4 linked regions of the Drosophila melanogaster genome follow. The protein of the gene in region 1 interacts with the protein of each later gene in a pairwise test. Each region holds a gene or a part of one and is shown in the gene's direction. Other genes may lie near its edges.

Evidence for each region.
Region 2: the proteins of CG1324 (region 1) and CG18745 interact in a two-hybrid assay, tested with the Drosophila melanogaster proteins (one large-scale study listed by BioGRID).
Region 3: the proteins of CG1324 (region 1) and Ntmt interact in a two-hybrid assay, tested with the Drosophila melanogaster proteins (one large-scale study listed by BioGRID).
Region 4: the proteins of CG1324 (region 1) and CG42674 interact in a two-hybrid assay, tested with the Drosophila melanogaster proteins (one large-scale study listed by BioGRID).

The regions. Positions count from the first base shown.
Region 1 is NC_004354.4:20,733,925-20,737,859, reverse strand, and holds CG1324 (uncharacterized protein), read left to right. Parts: upstream 1-1,899; 5' UTR 1,900-2,066; intron 2,067-2,129; 5' UTR 2,130-2,160; coding exon 2,161-3,039; 3' UTR 3,040-3,405; downstream 3,406-3,935.
Region 2 is NT_033777.3:7,783,295-7,787,761, reverse strand, and holds CG18745 (uncharacterized protein), read left to right. Parts: upstream 1-1,642; 5' UTR 1,643-1,808; coding exon 1,809-1,923; intron 1,924-2,444; coding exon 2,445-2,588; intron 2,589-2,645; coding exon 2,646-2,857; intron 2,858-2,924; coding exon 2,925-3,498; intron 3,499-3,563; coding exon 3,564-3,820; 3' UTR 3,821-3,919; downstream 3,920-4,467. Other genes in the region: CG18748 (uncharacterized protein), read left to right, coding at 1-33, 95-244, 310-518, 579-1,161, 1,221-1,393; CG18747 (uncharacterized protein), read left to right, coding at 4,361-4,467.
Region 3 is NT_033778.4:9,864,072-9,867,594, forward strand, and holds Ntmt (N-terminal methyltransferase), read left to right. Parts: upstream 1-1,560; 5' UTR 1,561-1,632; coding exon 1,633-2,463; 3' UTR 2,464-2,980; downstream 2,981-3,523. Other genes in the region: CG30010 (uncharacterized protein), read left to right, coding at 1-446; peo (pendolino), read right to left, coding at 519-998, 1,053-1,156, 1,219-1,283, 1,353-1,438. UniProt on the Drosophila melanogaster protein: Alpha-N-methyltransferase that methylates the N-terminus of target proteins containing the N-terminal motif [Ala/Pro/Ser]-Pro-Lys when the initiator Met is cleaved.
Region 4 is NT_037436.4:20,195,260-20,200,155, reverse strand, and holds the start of CG42674 (uncharacterized protein), read left to right. Parts: upstream 1-1,838; 5' UTR 1,839-2,674; intron 2,675-4,896. Other genes in the region: CG42833 (uncharacterized protein), read right to left, coding at 1-38.

The DNA.
Region 1 (3,935 bases):
GCCATTTGATGGAAGCCAAAAGTCAGGGCACAGAAGCAGCAGTAAACAATCGTAAAATCTCGAAGGAGACAATGGGCTGGCCAGGAAGTGGAAACGACAATGCCGGCATCTCGTTCTCCGTGTGCGGTGACATCATCGGCCAATGCCAAATAGCAAATGCCAAACAACAATTACCCAGGGCTGTTACCATTTTCTCGGCCCTGATTGCTTCATTTTCGGTGGCCAACAACTCCGCTGGATGAGTTATGGCCACATGGATGGCTCATCTCCAGACCAGCTTCTGTCGCAGTTTCAGTTCAGTTTCAGCTCAGTTCCAGTCCACAATAAGATCTCAATGGGATGTTTGAGGGATCCTCGGACGGGTTTGATTTATACTGCGGATGCGTCTGGCATCGACCAGCCGTTGGCCTCATAAATGTCCCAGAAGGACCTCCGGCAGCTGCCAGTAACCATTTCAGGGTATTTTTAAGCCATAATTGTATTACGACAAGCTCATTTTAAATGGTCTCCACCTTTCAAAAGCCTACGTATCCTTACAGTATTTAATTCGCAGCTAAAAACCTCGTGATTCTTTTCGCATCTCAAGCAAAAGTTTCGATGGTTCTATATTAAAGAGAATTATTAGTTGGTCAACATATTATATGCGTTACTTCCGAATTGGTCGGCGGTGTAAGGCGTCGTCATGCTATGAAAACCCATTTTCCCGAGCCCTAAAAACCTTGGACCAAACAACAAACGACTTTTATGCGTTGACATAAAAGGGCGCAGCATCAGAAAATCAAAAACGATAAAAACGGTCTCTCAACTTTTATTTTACCCCGCATGTGGAGCTGCAAATTGTCATTAGACATGCCGAATTTATGATTTTCGACTGTGATTTCGCTCTCTTTTTGGGCAATCTGCCATTCGATCCAGCACCACCCACCGACGCCCGCTTAAGTATGCTACACACATTTTTTTGGTAACCCTTACCAAGGCCCAAAGCACCCCTTTACTTTACCCCTCCGCCGCCGATGTGTATGTGGCACACAAACTCATAAATTGTATAAATTGTTCGGCTATTATTTCTCGTGGCTGTCAACGCAATATTGCAGGCAAATTGTCCTGGACAATGACGACAACATGTTGGCGGGGAAATGGGCAAGCAGGGGTTATAGGTCGGCTTGGAAATACATTTTTCTATGTGTTTTTATGAGCCCCGAATGTGAGATGGAGGCACATCAAAATGGAGATTACCTCTAGTTTTCCGACAACCTGTTTTATTAACAAGTTTTCACCTCTCGTATCGTACCTTCTAACGTGTATGATTTAGGTACGATTGGTCCAGCTGTGAATCTGCTGCTTATGTTCAGTGATTCTATCAATATAATCTATCATTTTCAGACGACAATTTCGGTTGCAGACCGCCAACCCCTTAATCCCTAACCATATATGGATTTTTTATATAACCATTTTTATGGAATTTTCTGCTCGTTTGTGTCAGATTTTTACCCATTTTTCGCAATTGACTTTGCAGCCTTGACTTACGCCAAATGACATAATTAGCCATGGGCGGGGGGCGTGGCAGGTAGTCGTTTTAGGGCTAGGGTTATTATATAGCACGTAACCCTAGCGCTGGCCATGCGCCATAAAAGATGCAATTTCGCGCGAATTCTAACCCCAGCAAATCCTTTTTCGTCCTGCACTTTAATGCCCGTTTTTTTTTCCACCGAAAATACCCGGGTTTCCTCCCTTTTTATGCCGTTTTTATTATTATTTGCGAAAACGGTTAGAAAGTCAATTGTTTTATGGGATTACGGAAAAGCAGCAGGCGGGGCATTCCAGTAGGTGCTGCCTCAAAAGTCAGCTGCCCAAACATTTGGGGCCTACAACGCTACGCCCAGATCCCCAGTCGTTCTCCGAGCACCGACTCGACAAGACCCAAAATATATTCGAGCTCAAAAGTTTACAATTTCGAACAAAGTCAAGGCTTCACAAAATTTTCATATAAAATTCACCGTTGAAAATAACTTTTCGTTCCGCTCTTTTTTCGTTCCTTTTCTGTTTAAATATACAATATATATTAGGTAAAAAATAACATACTACACGTACAACTTTTCAAATTCAACAAAAATATATATTCCATACAGATTAAACGGCGTACGGACCCACTGAGTTACAATGCAACGTTCCATTTTCAAGAGTAGCTGTTCCAGGACACTGATCCTGCTTAACTCCCTGAAATCCATGCACCACAAGAGCCTGCACGTGGAGCAACTGTTGGAGGCAGCTCCAGCGCCCAAAAACCGCTGCCTGGATCTGTTGGGTCGCTTGATCCATGGCCGATTGAGTCTCTTGGGCGGTCGTCCTGTCCCGCCCAGATTCTTACCGCTATTGGCGGGTGATCGAAGCCTGTACTTTAATGCGGACGAGGACGAAGAGTTTCGTAAGCGTTTGGCCATGCAGCTGAAGGAGTTGCGAGAGACCCTGCAAGAAAAACAGGAACTTCGCGAGGGACAAGAGCAGGACTTTCAGGAGCTGGAGCAACAGGACGAGGAGGAGGATCAGCCGTATGTGCCCAGATCTCGGGAGATCTCCATGGAGGATCTCACTGACGAGGAGCTAAGTGACGTGCGGGGGCTGCGGATGAGTGCCAGCCAGGATGATGGCAAGTCTGGTAATTTCGAGCAGCCAGAAACCAGTGAATTGGAAAGCGAGGAGACGGCGGATGCTAAGGATCCCCGGGAGTCCGGGCAGCCGCGAGAGCCTCAAGATGCCCACGATGCCATCGAACACGTTCGCGAGGGTGAAATCGAAGGAGTTTACTGGACGGGCGAGGGCAAACGGATTGTCACTCAAACGCCACAGCGTAAGACGGGTCATTCGGGATTCATCGATGGCCATGGCGAAGAGATTCCCCAGGAGGACTCCAAGCAAGAGGTGGCTCCCTATCACCCTGAGCCTCGGGCCCAGGCGCAGGCCACCTCCAAGGTGATAAGGAAGGGCCGCAAGCCCAAGTCGTCAACCAAAACCAACACGCCCAGCGATTCCGACGAATAACTAAATTGCCAGTAAATGAAACCAAAACCCTCGAGCTGGGATCGCTAAAATAAATACAAAAGGCTAAAGACAAAACGCTCTATGCCGTGTTTCCCTTTCCCAGTAACCATCTGAGGTTTCTGCGGGTTGCATTCAGTTGAGTCATCTGCAGCCAGCACTACCTGGCCACTGCTTAGCAAATTTTATGCAATGACCAGGAGTCAAGGACGATTTACCTGGGCGGACAACACACGCTTCCCACACGCGGCGGTGGGCACTCTCACTCTTTTTTGCGTCCTCTAAAATCCTTTTTTACAGCCCTATCCTTTTTTTGGCTTTTGGTGGAATTCTGGGAAAATTTTACATAAAGATCGTAGAACACCGAGCATGTTTTTTTTTTTTAATATAATTTTTCAAATAGATTCAAATGTTGCTAGCCATTGGTGGCTCGTTTAATGGTTTAATCAACATGGACAAGAGCCAAGTCCATATTCTCCCCTGTCTGTGGCTGTTCCTTCTGTACCTGCTCCATTGACCCAAGATGATAAATGATGTTTGCCAATCTAGCTGACCCAAGGCCGGAAATTAAATTTGTTCGAAAATTTGCCACTTTTCCCCGTCTGTTTCTTATTTGTTGTTTGTTTCCCCCTCAGAGTCACGCCCGAAAAAAATCTGGAGAAAGGACTGTGGGAACAAAATGGGGAGGAGATATGGAGAATTAATATCGGGCTTTGGGAATCTTGTAGAACAAAAACATATACATATAACAAAATAATGTTCTTGATGTTCTATTTTTAACTAGAAGAATCTTGGGATTAAAATACAAGTTTTTATTGACTTTTGATACAAGACTTGTTTCATAAATATAATAGCAAATGAGTGCTCGCCGGTTTTCAATTTATAAACGTATTTGAACG
Region 2 (4,467 bases), on another chromosome or scaffold:
CTCTGAGCACTGATAAGGCGATTCAAATCAAAGGTAAGTACTCAGTTGTGATTGCGATACTTCATATAATTCTCGCAACATTTTACATATTAAGCAATTCGACTTAAGCTAAAAGGTTATGCAGAGACCCATTGGACCGAAAGCAAGACTGATTCGAATAACAAGTCCACTTCAGAGTCGTACAATGGATTTGAGAAATACCTTTCCAGTAAAGTTTATCTTTTGGGTTCCGAAATTAGCCCTGGTAAAATATTGAGTGATAATTTGTTATTGAAATTGGTCAAAATTTCATTTTATGTATTCGCAAAGAAATGGCTTTGGAGCCGGGAACTAGGTCCTACAATTTTGCTTGTCCAATTCCAATCAATTGTCCCTCATCGTTCGAGGGGACTCATGGTCGTATACGTTATATGGTGGATGTCAATATCATTCAGCCGTGGAAGTACGACAGCATTTTCTCAAGAGCTTTCACCGTTATTCAAGTGATGGACATAAACACCTATAACTCTGTTTCACAGGTAAATATAACATGAAACGAAATTTTGGAGGTCTGCTATAACAATGTAATCGCTTTTAAGGTTCCCGTGCAGGCCAAGACTGAGAAAACCTTTGGGGTCTGGCCCTTCCGATCGGATCCTCTAACGCTGGAGCTGAATTTGCCGCAGACTGGCTTTGTGCCTGGTCAGACGGTACCCGCAAATGTTCTGATTGGTAACGAAAGCAAAATTCGGGTGCACGAAGTGAAGGTTGGACTATCAATGATGATCACCTACTACAGTGATCTAAGTTCAGGTTCCAAGTGCGAGCGCAAGTCCGTGGCCAAGTTAAAGGCAGATGGAGTTTTGAGGAACTCCCGGAAAATGTACGACTTCCAACTGATGATACCCTCTACTCCGCCTTCATGTTTCCATCTGTGCCGCATTATCAAGATCGGATACCAGATCGAGGTTGTGGCCAAGGTGAAGGGCATGCATATCAATGGAACTCTGATAATGCCGGTGACTATTTGTGGTGTTCCGATATCGCCGTCAGCGGTGCAATATACGCCGCAGAGCTCTGGGCCAGAGGCTCCAGAACAAAGAGCTTTGACTTTGATTGAGGGAGAGGGAGCTTTTGCTCCAGCTGCTCCCCCATATCCCTGGTCAGAAGGATCCACACTATGTAAGCTGTCCTTGTTTTAATATGTCCATATCAATTATGTAACCATACGATTTTTATAGCGCCACCGAACTACGCCGAGGCCATGCATTCCCATAGTGACTCTGAGAAACAGTCAGAGTCGGGAAATGCGCAAGAGAAGTCTTACAAGCCGTTGTATCCTGTCTTCGATTTGTCTACTTCAACTGTAGAAAAGAGCAAGGAAGCGGCTTTGGATAAAGAGGAAAAGAAATGAAGGCGGGCGAAAAAACTATTCTACATTTGAGAACCATTGGACATCCCATCCCACGCCTGCTTGTCAAGAAGTCCTTGGGATTTTTCCGGAGATATGAGGGCTATTTGCTGCTCGACTGCATTTGGCAAAATGTATAATTCAAAATTGTGACAGCGATAAGATAAAGTTTTTCTGGCCATCGCTACCAATATAGAACAACCGCAATGTTTGTTTTATTCTCAGTTGATTTCTGGCAGCCAAGTGGGCATGTGGGTGCTATCGTCGCGAAAAGCGGTTCCTTCCACTCTGTCTGGAGTTCTCGGAATTTAGGGAGTAAATAACTGAACATTGGCATTAAAATCAAATCAGTCGTGTTTGCAGCGGCATCAGAGTAGGATCGGCCCATAAATACACGATTGCGGTTACAATTACAATTATGACTGTTACCTGTGAAATTGATTTCGATAACAATCCCCATGGCACCTACTTTGGGGGCGAGGTACTCACTGGCAGAGTTACGTTGAAGCTGGACAAGATGAAGTTGGTAAAAGGTGAGGGGCAGTTGATTTGAGATACCTTTGGAATTTGACAATATGCCATGAGTCATTCTTATCTTATCGTCCAACTTAAAAGTGCGGTTGAATGTTTTTAAACGAAGATTTAGTCCGGTGACTCATATATTTATAGTGAGTAGAGAACCACACGTGCGAAATCTAATGTCTACATGAAGGTGTTTGGCGAACATACACAAATGCATCAATGATAATATTTGCGTTCGATAAGATTAAATTATTTTTAAATAATCAATGGGTTTCGCATTAATTAATATTAAATAGGGGTGGATACATATTTGACTTTTTCATATATACAACGATTGCTTTTGTAAGTTTTTATGGATATTTCATGTGAATGCATAACAGTAATTCTGTATGATTAAAAGATTTTAATTTGTCAAAACCATAATCATCGTTTAGATGACTTAAAAAACAATTAAAGAATAAATTCAATTCGTTACAGTACATTGAGCTAAAATACCTTTCTAAGAAATACCTTATCAACTTCTTCTCCGCAGCCATCACCTTGAATATAACCGGATACGCAGAGACGCGTTGGATTGAAAGGGTGACCACAAACAGAAGGAGGAGACGTCGCACATTCTGCGGCCGCGAGGATTACATAGCGTCCAAAACATTTTTGGTGGGATCCAATCTGAGCAGTACGTAAAGCTCCATTTAGGCAAGAAAGTCCATCTAATTGCTAATCATATCTGCAGGCCAAGTATCCATTGAAGCGGGAATTCACACTTACAACTTCGTGTGCCTGATTCCCACCGAATGTCCTTCGTCCTTCGAGGGATCACACGGCAGGGTGCGGTACATGGCAACCGTAACCCTCGTCAGGCCCTGGAAATTCGATCAGAGCTATACCCGATGCTTTACGGTGCTAAAAGTGATGGACTTGAACTTCGATAGTCCACTGCTAAGGGTACGAATCAAAATCAAACACGAATACATATCTGTTAGAACCTAAGCTAATTGAATATGTTATGTAGGTACCCGCCCACAGTGAAACCTCGAAGACCTACTGCTGCTGGCCTTGCCGATCAGATCCGTTGGCCCTCCAACTGACCGTTCCACAGACAGGATTTGTACCTGGCCAGAATGTTCCCCTTAGCGTGCTGGTCACAAACGATAGCCACATTCCGGTGGAGCAGCTCCTCATTAGTTTTGTGATGCTGGTGACATACCACAGTAAGCCACCTTCGATGCCCAATACCACGTCCGAGAGGTTGGTGGTAAACACCTTCAAGGGGGACGCTGTGCAAAGGAACTGCAAGAAGCTATTTAGCTATGAGATCAGAGTCCCGGCCACTCCGCCCACCTGCTTCAACCTGTGCGGCATCATCCAGATCGCCTACCAAGTGGAGGTGGAGGCCAGGGTGAAGGGTTGCCACAACAACGAGGTTGTCACCATTCCGCTGACCATTGGCAGTGTCCCTCTTGCACAACACGTACCAATCCAGCCTCGGGGTTTCGTCCCCCAGCTGAATGTTAATGAGCTGGCTGTTGAAGAAGTAGCCACTGCTCCAAACTCTTCAAGTCCATGGTCTGTCGACGCATCCATTCGTGAGTTTACTAGAATCCATAAACTAATTACAGTATCAATTTATGTTTTTTGTTGGTGTTTTTAGCTCCGCCCAACTATCAGGAGGCTGTTCACATGCGCAGCACGGCTGCAACGAGGTCAGACGACTTAGACGACCCGGAACCAGTACCGCCCAATACTCTCAGTTTGGATGGCGGTGCTTATAAGCCACTCTATCCGGTCTTCGACATACCCAGTCCCTCAGCTCCGCCGCCGACGGATTATACGCAGAATTATATGGCAGAGAGGGCCTTTGTCAATCCGGCCATGGATGTGGACAAAGACAAGGGAACGTGGCTATGAGAACGAAAATAAATACTATACTAGAAATGTAAGGGCGATAAAGCATTTGCACACAAGGCAAAAGTTCCACCTAACACTTTATAATAAACATTTTATCACAATTCCAAGACTGGTACAGGGTGGAGCGATTTTTGAAATTATTCGAAATTATATATATATTACCATATGTAGTCTAAGATTTTCAAACACGACGCTTTTCTTTCCTCTTGAAAACCCCTCGATGAATGCTGGCAATAACTTCCCCAGTGCCAAGGTCTCGACAACCAACTCTGATAACAGACCGAAAACCCCAAGTGAACGTCCGAGTAGTTCGCAAGGGAACTTATTATCGACTCTTATACAGTTTGGACTACGATTCCGTATCGTTCCCGGTGAAATCCGAATCCGACATCGGGTCCAAGTTATGGTTCTTATCGCTTATCTAACGACGCGGTCGCACCGCAAGCAGTCCAGAAGTTTTGTACTTAAATTAGTCGCAGTGAGTTGCCCCATAACATCGGTTTTAGCTTTTTCGCGCTCGGACATTTAATCTTGGGAAAAATGGTTGTTACGTGTGAGATCAGCTTCGATAATAATAAACATGGTACTTTCTACGCCGGTCAGCTGGTAAAAGGATGCGCGACCCTTAAATGTGACAGGTCCAAGGA
Region 3 (3,523 bases), on another chromosome or scaffold:
ATTTCCTCAAGTTCTTTTTCAACCGACTGCGGCTAAACAAAACGAGCAGATATGAAAGCGAATTTCCATACATTTCCCTCTGTGGCCGCGAAAGGAATTTTATTAGGTGCGATGACACACCTGTTGTGTTTACTGAACAGCTGAGGAAGGACGATACGGAGGTGCTCAGCTATGCACACGCGGGACAGGTCCTTACCCTGCCTTACGAACCCCACAAACTGTACATGGATCCGCGAAACGGAAGGGTCTATCATCCAGCTGCGCCACAGGTGGGCGGAATAGGCCTAGTCCGCTCCAAACTGGCCATCGAGCTCAGCCAGCACTTTGAGTTTCTCGCTGGCGAGGCTTCCCCCACACATTTCCAATGGAACGGAGAACGTTTAGAGTTGCAGAACGAGTGGGTTAACAATACTCAGCGATTTCCCATGAACGAGGATTGTAAATAATTGAATAACTTTAATCGTTTTAAAATTGAGACAACGATAGAATATAACTTACAGAATATATGTATATTGGTTTTACTCAATGCTAAGTGGCTTAAACTCGCCCTCCTTAACCCATGACAGACCAGTTGCATGTCCACCATTTGCTTGTTGCGCTGAAGGCTCCGTCAGCTTGCTTCTTCCGGCCTTGATGCGCTCCAGAACGGGCCCGTGCACGTCCTGCTGGAACTTCTCGAATACTATGTAGTGCGGATCTTCGGTGGGTGGGGTGTCAAATATATGCTCCTTGCTCTCCTTGATATTTTCCTGTACGCGAGCAACATACTCCTCCTTGTTATTCATCAGCAGCTCCGCAGCCTCGCTGTTTTTGAGCTTATCTACCTCAATGCCCCGAATACTGTCCAAGGGATCGGAGAAAATGACTTGCAGGTACTTTAAAAGCTGCCAAAGGTGATCCTCTCCACAGCGCCACTCCGGGAAGGCGTGGCTCACGTCCAAACTGTGGGTGTACGGGCACACATGGGGATGAATCACATCCTGCTGGAAAATTATGCTCTAAAGGGGACTTGTAGAGTTAAATACGTTTGCTCTATTGCCGATCCTACTCACCGGAAGACTTTTGTCGTCGGGAAAACGATCTGGGAGCAAAATTGTGAATCGAAAAACACTTTCCGCATACAAGCCCTGTCGGCCAAAGAAGACTCCAAACCACTCTATTAACAAAAGATAAAATTAGCTAAAGACTGCATACAGGTTGGCAGGTGGGTAGACTAACGCAAGGAGTTAGCATAGCTGGGTATCACATATATCCCACTCAACTTCTCCGACTCAATCATTTTGCTAAAACATAAGAAATTAAATAAGTTTAGTTTTACTCCACGTAGTTATCAGTGAACTCTGAAAACTCACTATTCGGCCAGAATTTTATACTCCTGCTGTATGGTTGTGATCAGCAACTTGTCATCTTTCTTATGCGCATCCAAATCGAGAGTCATTTTGTCCGGACAATAGAAAAATTAAACAAAAAACTAGTAACATAAACAAACGGACAATTTTGTTGCTTGTTGAACAGCTGATTGGTGAAGGGTTGCCACTCTTTCGTAAAACCTAAATGGCTCACTGTGTTTAGGAGCCCTGGTTATCGCACTAAAACAAAACAAAGCATGCGGCCTTCGAAATCCTGACAAAAATGACGACTACATTAGAAGAGCAGCTTTCAGACAAGTTGCAGATGATGGACGAGACCACGGATAAGGTCCAGGGGTCGTCGAAGCAGAAGGATGATAGCAGTATAGCCGCAAGTTCAGATGCCAAGACAGCGTCCCCTTCTTCGAGCGATAGTTCGACCAAAGTCGCCGCACCGGAGTCCGAATTTTACAATAAGGCACAAAAATATTGGTCTGAGGTACCGGCGACTGTTAACGGGATGCTCGGCGGCCTGGGCTACATTAGTGCCATAGATATACAGGGATCGAATGTGTTCCTGCGCGAGATCCGCGTGCCGGGCAACAGGTTGGCCCTCGACTGCGGAGCTGGCATTGGTCGGGTGACTCGGAATCTCCTGATCCCCCGCTTCAGCTGCGTGGATCTTGTCGAGCAGGATCCCGCGTTTGCCGATAAAGCACGGGAGTACTGCACTTCGGAAGACGGAAGCCGTGGAAAGGTGGGACAGATCTATAACGTGGGATTGCAGAAGTTTACGCCTACGCAACAGTACGACCTCGTTTGGACCCAGTGGGTCCTGGGCCATCTCACGGACCGCGATCTGGTCTCGTTCTTTCGACGCATAAAGCAGGGACTGGCGCCCGGCGCCTTCTTGTGTCTGAAGGAGAACGTGAGCAGCTCGAAGAAGACAGTGGAAGATAGGAACGACTCGTCGGTAACGAGGCCTCTGGACAGCTATGAACACTTCCTAAAGGAAGCCGGATTTCGCATTGTACGCAAGGTCAAGCAACAAAACTTTCCCAAGGGACTCTTTCCAGTGTACATGATAGCCTGCAAACCCGTCTCCAAGGAATAGGTTTAGTATTTAGTTAGTTTTACTGTTGACCTACAAGCGATTGTACTAAAGTTATCCGAAAAATTTAATGTCACATTACTAGCTAGTCACTTCAAATTGTAGCGTTCTAATCAACGAATAAACAAGCTTACAAAAGCTTGAACACGTTCCTTAATTGATGCCTTCAAAGTGCTTTATTCACGGGATATAAACAAGAAAAACACAATTATTACTAAATTATGTTTACACAAAAATAATATTTTTATCAACCACGCGACCTCGCAATAGTATAGAATGCCAACAAATTCGTTAGTAGTAGAAAAATCTGCTTCCTTAAGTCCCCATTTGCCAATTTTAAATTAATTCTCATAGTGCTATTAGCAATTCTCTTTTCTCAATTCAAATGGATTTCCTTATCTCCATAAATGTTAGTCTTGAAGATCTGGCGACAGCGGATTGATCATAAGCTCAATCTTTTGCCTGGAAACAAGATTACTTGAAAAGTTTTTTAGGTATATAATTACGTCAAAAAGAAAATTACAATTAAAATATATAATTACGTCAAAAATAAAATTCAAATAAAGGGAGAATTTGGGGCATAACAAATATTTTCAGAAGGATATTAAAAATCCTAAGGACAAAACTTAAACATGCAAAAGTTGATAAAAAGTTTGTAAATGAGTTTCTTTATTATTATTACTATTTTTGCATTTAGGAATTAAGAGCCATATTCAGTTCTTTTCCAAATTTTTACGTTGGGTTCAGAAACTATTTTTAAAAGCATACTTTTAAAGAGGCTGCAAACTAAGCATATGTCTGCATTCGTTGAGTTGATATTTCAAACTGCATTTTTATTTCATTGTTCAAGCTTATATAGCTAAAATGAAATTCACATGTTCTAATATTATAAATGGCTTAGACCAACGTAGTGGTGGTCCTCACCATGAGAAAAGATGTGAGTTTCCACTTTTCTATATGCTATAAGAACGTATCTTATTTAACGAATAAGCGTTGTTACTTTTTAAGTATAGGCAGACCAATGTTTTGACAATACAATTGCTGAAGCGGTTCAATCGCTTTA
Region 4 (4,896 bases), on another chromosome or scaffold:
AAGTAAAATGAAAATCCATTTCCTCTGGATGCTCGCATTTTGATACAGCGATGATCTCTAACTGATCTTTGATTTTATCTTCTACTCGTAGTCGCATGTCGAAATTCATTATCTTATCAATAGAAACGTTTAAAGACTTTTGAAAATGACTTTACAACAGATACAGAAGACGGTGGATAAGATAGCAAGCGTTATTTGGTTTTTGCCTAAAAGTTAGCTATATATTTCGCAAGATTCGGTAAAAGCTCGATTTGTGTAATTTAACAGTAAAGAAATATATTTTAAGACTTCCATTACCGAATTATGCTGCTCCGCCTAATTTATAAGACTTCAATCCGAATCCGCACAAAAACTGTATTTATAAGATACAAAGTGTTAACACATAGTAAAAATTGGTAAATAATAAATTCTCATTAAAAATTCAACTTTCGGAGCTTTTATATAACTGTTGGTATTTGCCAAACGTGGACTTATCCAAAGCTATGAAACTTATAACATCAATAACTTCTATTAATCTATTTAAAAATTATGATTCAACCTTCTAACCCTTTTGAAATAAGATCATATAATAATTCAAAATATAAGGTAGGTCAAGGCAATAGATTGCCGTATCGTTTTTCGGGCTGAACTTTATTTAAAAACTCATAGATGATGTCATCCAATCGGCATACGAACTTTGAAAGATTGTCCCTGATCTCGTCGCCCGTTGATCCGTTCGTTCATTCATAAATTATCCAAAACCATGTTGTTCAGCTTGATTATGTTGCAAATACACATATGTACACTGTATGTACATTCATATGTACATATGTATGTGTTCGGTGCTCATAAACGTTTGTGCGATATGTTTGTCTAATTTAAATTTAGCTTCTAAGGCGGTCGGGCTCAATTAGGGCTGCTTTTTGGCTTGAAGCTAATCGACGTGCCGTCCAGTAATTAATTCAGACAAACTCGTTGGTTGGAGTCGCGTGACTCATTATAAATCGCAAAATGGCAAAGTGAAAAAATCTTTTTGGGGTTCTGGGCAAAGTAAATTCAGGAAAGTTTTTTAGGGATATACATGTGTGTGTTTGTGCTTAATTTAACATTTAAAATGCAAACAAACTGCGCTAATCAGCTCAATCGATGAGATCGATGCCCTGGTTAATAAAGAAATTGTTGTTTGGTGAAATGATTGATTTATGGTATAAATGTTAATTAGTTACAAGGCCTCCGCTTGCCTATTTAGCCTTGAACTTTGCACATAACTGAAGATACATATATACATACATATGTACATATGTATGCGAATTTATGAGGGATGACCTCAATTATCTTTGAGCCGGAAGATAAACATTTAGAACCTTGAACTTGCTAAAGGTAGTACTATTAGCCTAGAAATTTTACGACATTCAATCTTTGGTTTTAAAGCATTTCGGAAGATTACAATGCAATTGCATTGATTGTAATCCACAACAACACTTCTTGCTTTCAAGCTAACGGCGCAAATTTAAATTTCCATTTCAGTCCAACTTCGTTTCTGATGTGTCACTCTCTTCCGGCTCTTAATTTAGTCTTGAGTCTTAAACGATTGCTTAATTTATTTCTAAGTTCGTAAAGACATCTGTTAATTATTATTAAGGTAGCACACTACTGATACCCTTTAATAGCTGTTAATAGCTTATTTTTGATACTCTGCCTGCAGCACGAGTATCAGCTGATGGTGCGCGGCAACATACACACACACACGCACGCACGAAGTTGAAGAGAGCGGTTAGGTGAACTAACTTAGTTCCTCTCTTTCCCGCTCTCTTTGCGCCAACGAGATTAAGCTTTTTGTACCGGCGATCGCTTCAGCTTTTTCAGTTGAAAACAAGTCACCCGCGAGCGGTGTTCTTTTTGCGCGCCGTTCTGCGAATAGTTTTATTTTGATTTTAGCCCAACTTAATTCGTTCCATGCGACTTTTCCTTTTCGCGAGCGGTAGTGACGTCGCCGTTTTTTGGACAATTGCGCACATATTAAAATCGCGAAGAAATAGGGGTTGTTGTTATTGTTGTTTGGCCGGAGACACGCGTCGCTTTTCCGCGTGTCTTTTATTTTTGTGGATCAGCGGCCACCTGAAAGGCGCCATTTGAAAAGCCAACAGCTGTGAGGCAAAAAAAAAACAAATATATGCATATACGTACATATATATTCAAGTGCAAAAAGCTGGCGTTGCTAATAGAAATAAATAAATATAAAAGGCAGAATAAACGTGCAAAGCGGTGCGTAAGTGTGTGTGTTTTATGTATTGCGCAAGCAAAAGAGAGCGCGTTCTGTGTGTGTGCGTGCGTACCTGAAAATATACATATAACTTAACTTGATTATTTTCAGTTTTGTTAGCAACAACAACAAAGAAACCGCTCGCTGAATAAGTCTAATTTGAAGTGCATTTCCTTTGTGATTGAAAAGATCGCTCCAAACTCCAAAAATCGAAATCGAGCAAGGCCATACGTATATATACTGATATATACGCATATATACACATTTATTCGTGTGGATTCAGAGCGCAAGCGTCGCGTCGCCATGCAAATGTTAATGAAAAACACAAACCCCTAAAAATCGACTTATCAGCTTAAAAAACATCACTAGATTGTCACTCAAAATAAAACACTATTAAAAAACCAACAAATCAGCAAAGAGCAAGGAAATCAGGCAAGTTCCTTAAAAATAATGCAGTTTATACGTACATATGTAAATATAGCGAAGAGCGACCTTCGTCACGAAACTAATTTAACTTAAAAACTGATAAGACCACTTGATTCGCCAACTCTTCCTCTTCGCGATTCGCCCTCTCCTTCTCGCGCAGTATCAGCTGCGATCCAAAACAGTGGACGGGGACGTTCCGACATTGCATACCCTGCAGTAAGCTATAAACTTCCTGCAGACTTGCTTTAAATGTATTGCTAAAGTGATACTCTTAATTCGGGAATTCTTGATTTTGTTGGTGTCCACTATCAACACCCTTTTTTTTTTTCTTATAATTGTTTGCTAACTGCTAATTATGAATCGACCGGAAACGAACCATCAGAAACATACAATAAAGAATTTATGTTGGTTTTTATAAAAGTGGTTATTCTTTTGCTTACTGTTTAGTTCCGATTCTATACAACCTTTTAAATAACATTATTATGACACTCCTCTTTGTATTTATGTTTTCATAAGCAAAGGTGCGATTCAGTCTAAAGGTGTTCCCATTTTCAATTTTCTTTAAAATTGTTTGTTATAGGTAGTGTGTGTGCTATGTTTCACAAAAGTAGCCAAATACATTTTTTGACGAATTTGTGAAGTTAATGGATTTAAACGACGTGCAAGCTCAAACCTGTCGAATTGCACGGCAACTTTCCAAAGTTCATGTTACTAAACTTTCGAGAAAGGACATTTGAATTAAAATGTTTTATCTTTGGGCCTAGTAATTACAAGTTATACATATATATTTAACGCATTCTGTACAGACCGCTTTTGTGAAAAGAGCTCTTTCTGCGAATCATTCATTTTATCATTCGTATGTACAGTTGTGTTGTTGAGATACCATTCGAACTAACCTAGTACACCTAATACACACTCTATGTCTGTCAGATAAAGAGCTGTACACGTGCTGGAGATGGCATATCTGTCGTTATCAAAGGCGGCTAATCTAACGAGTACGTGCGGAGGCTACGAGCTTCGCTTGGATTTATGTAACATTCAAAGATCCAAAATCAGGGGGCTGGGGACAGTTTTCACTATCCAGCTTTCGTTATCAAATGGTGCTGCACAATGCACCGAGAAATATTTTGTACTCATCCATTTGGTGGCGTAATTGGCTTTGGGGCCGAACCACTCGGTTCGATTCGTTTCACAACCGGTTTGGGTTCCTGCAGTTAACACTCATCTCAAACTGAAAGCGGCATCGGGGGTACACCTCACAGGAACTCCATGCACCCAGCCATCAATCACCTATACAGTCTAGCTTTTATAACTCGAACCAAACTGAAGCTTGAGTGGTTTGTCGAAGATCTTGAGTCCACAGAATCGCTTTACAGGAAGATATCAGGAAATTCCAAAAGCTAGAGAACATTGTCATTCATCATTCCACCAAATAAAATGTATTTCATATTTTTCGATAGTTCAAGCTAGGGAAGCTTGCCTGTACGCGTATGTGCACTCGGACAACAATGCGTTGTCAATGAAAGCCGCAAACTGGTTTTGGCCTAGGAGAAGCAACGCAAACGGTAGTGCAAAGTTTGCTAAGGAAAACGATGTGATCTCGAGCAACATATACCCAGAGTGTCTTAGGTATCGCGGTATTAATTACCATAGTAAACAAAAAGAATCGCGCCAGAAGGGCACCCAAAATAATATTTACAAATTTTGTTTTCAGCTACATGATAACTTAACGCGTTGCTCACTATTCAATTTCAGGCAGCTCATGTATAACCGAATAATAATAATAACATATAATGTTACCTTACCATCACGTGTTCAGCAAAGTTGCTTAGGCAAAGCAATAATTATGTTGATTCTGTTGCTAAAATGATATAATTGGTTATTCATAATGGTTGTATGACAATTATCTGCACTTTCGAGTACCATCTTTTTCCAAGTGCCACCAAGTGTGTGCAACTCTCTCGTTCCGCTATCATATCAATTGTTTGCAAGGTAAATTTGATCAGTCAATTGAAAAGTTGAGTCTGCACTCATAATGGGGTTTGGTCCACCCCGAGGTGGACTCTTCGCACCGCAGCGATTGGCATGTGGTAACGCAATACTCGATCGGAGAGACAAATAACTCGAACTAGCGTCGAACGAGAATCAATACCAAGTGAATCATAGCATCAAATCTGGTTAGTGCTCCTCCGCTCACAATGAAATTTGAAATCGCCAACGGAGCACAA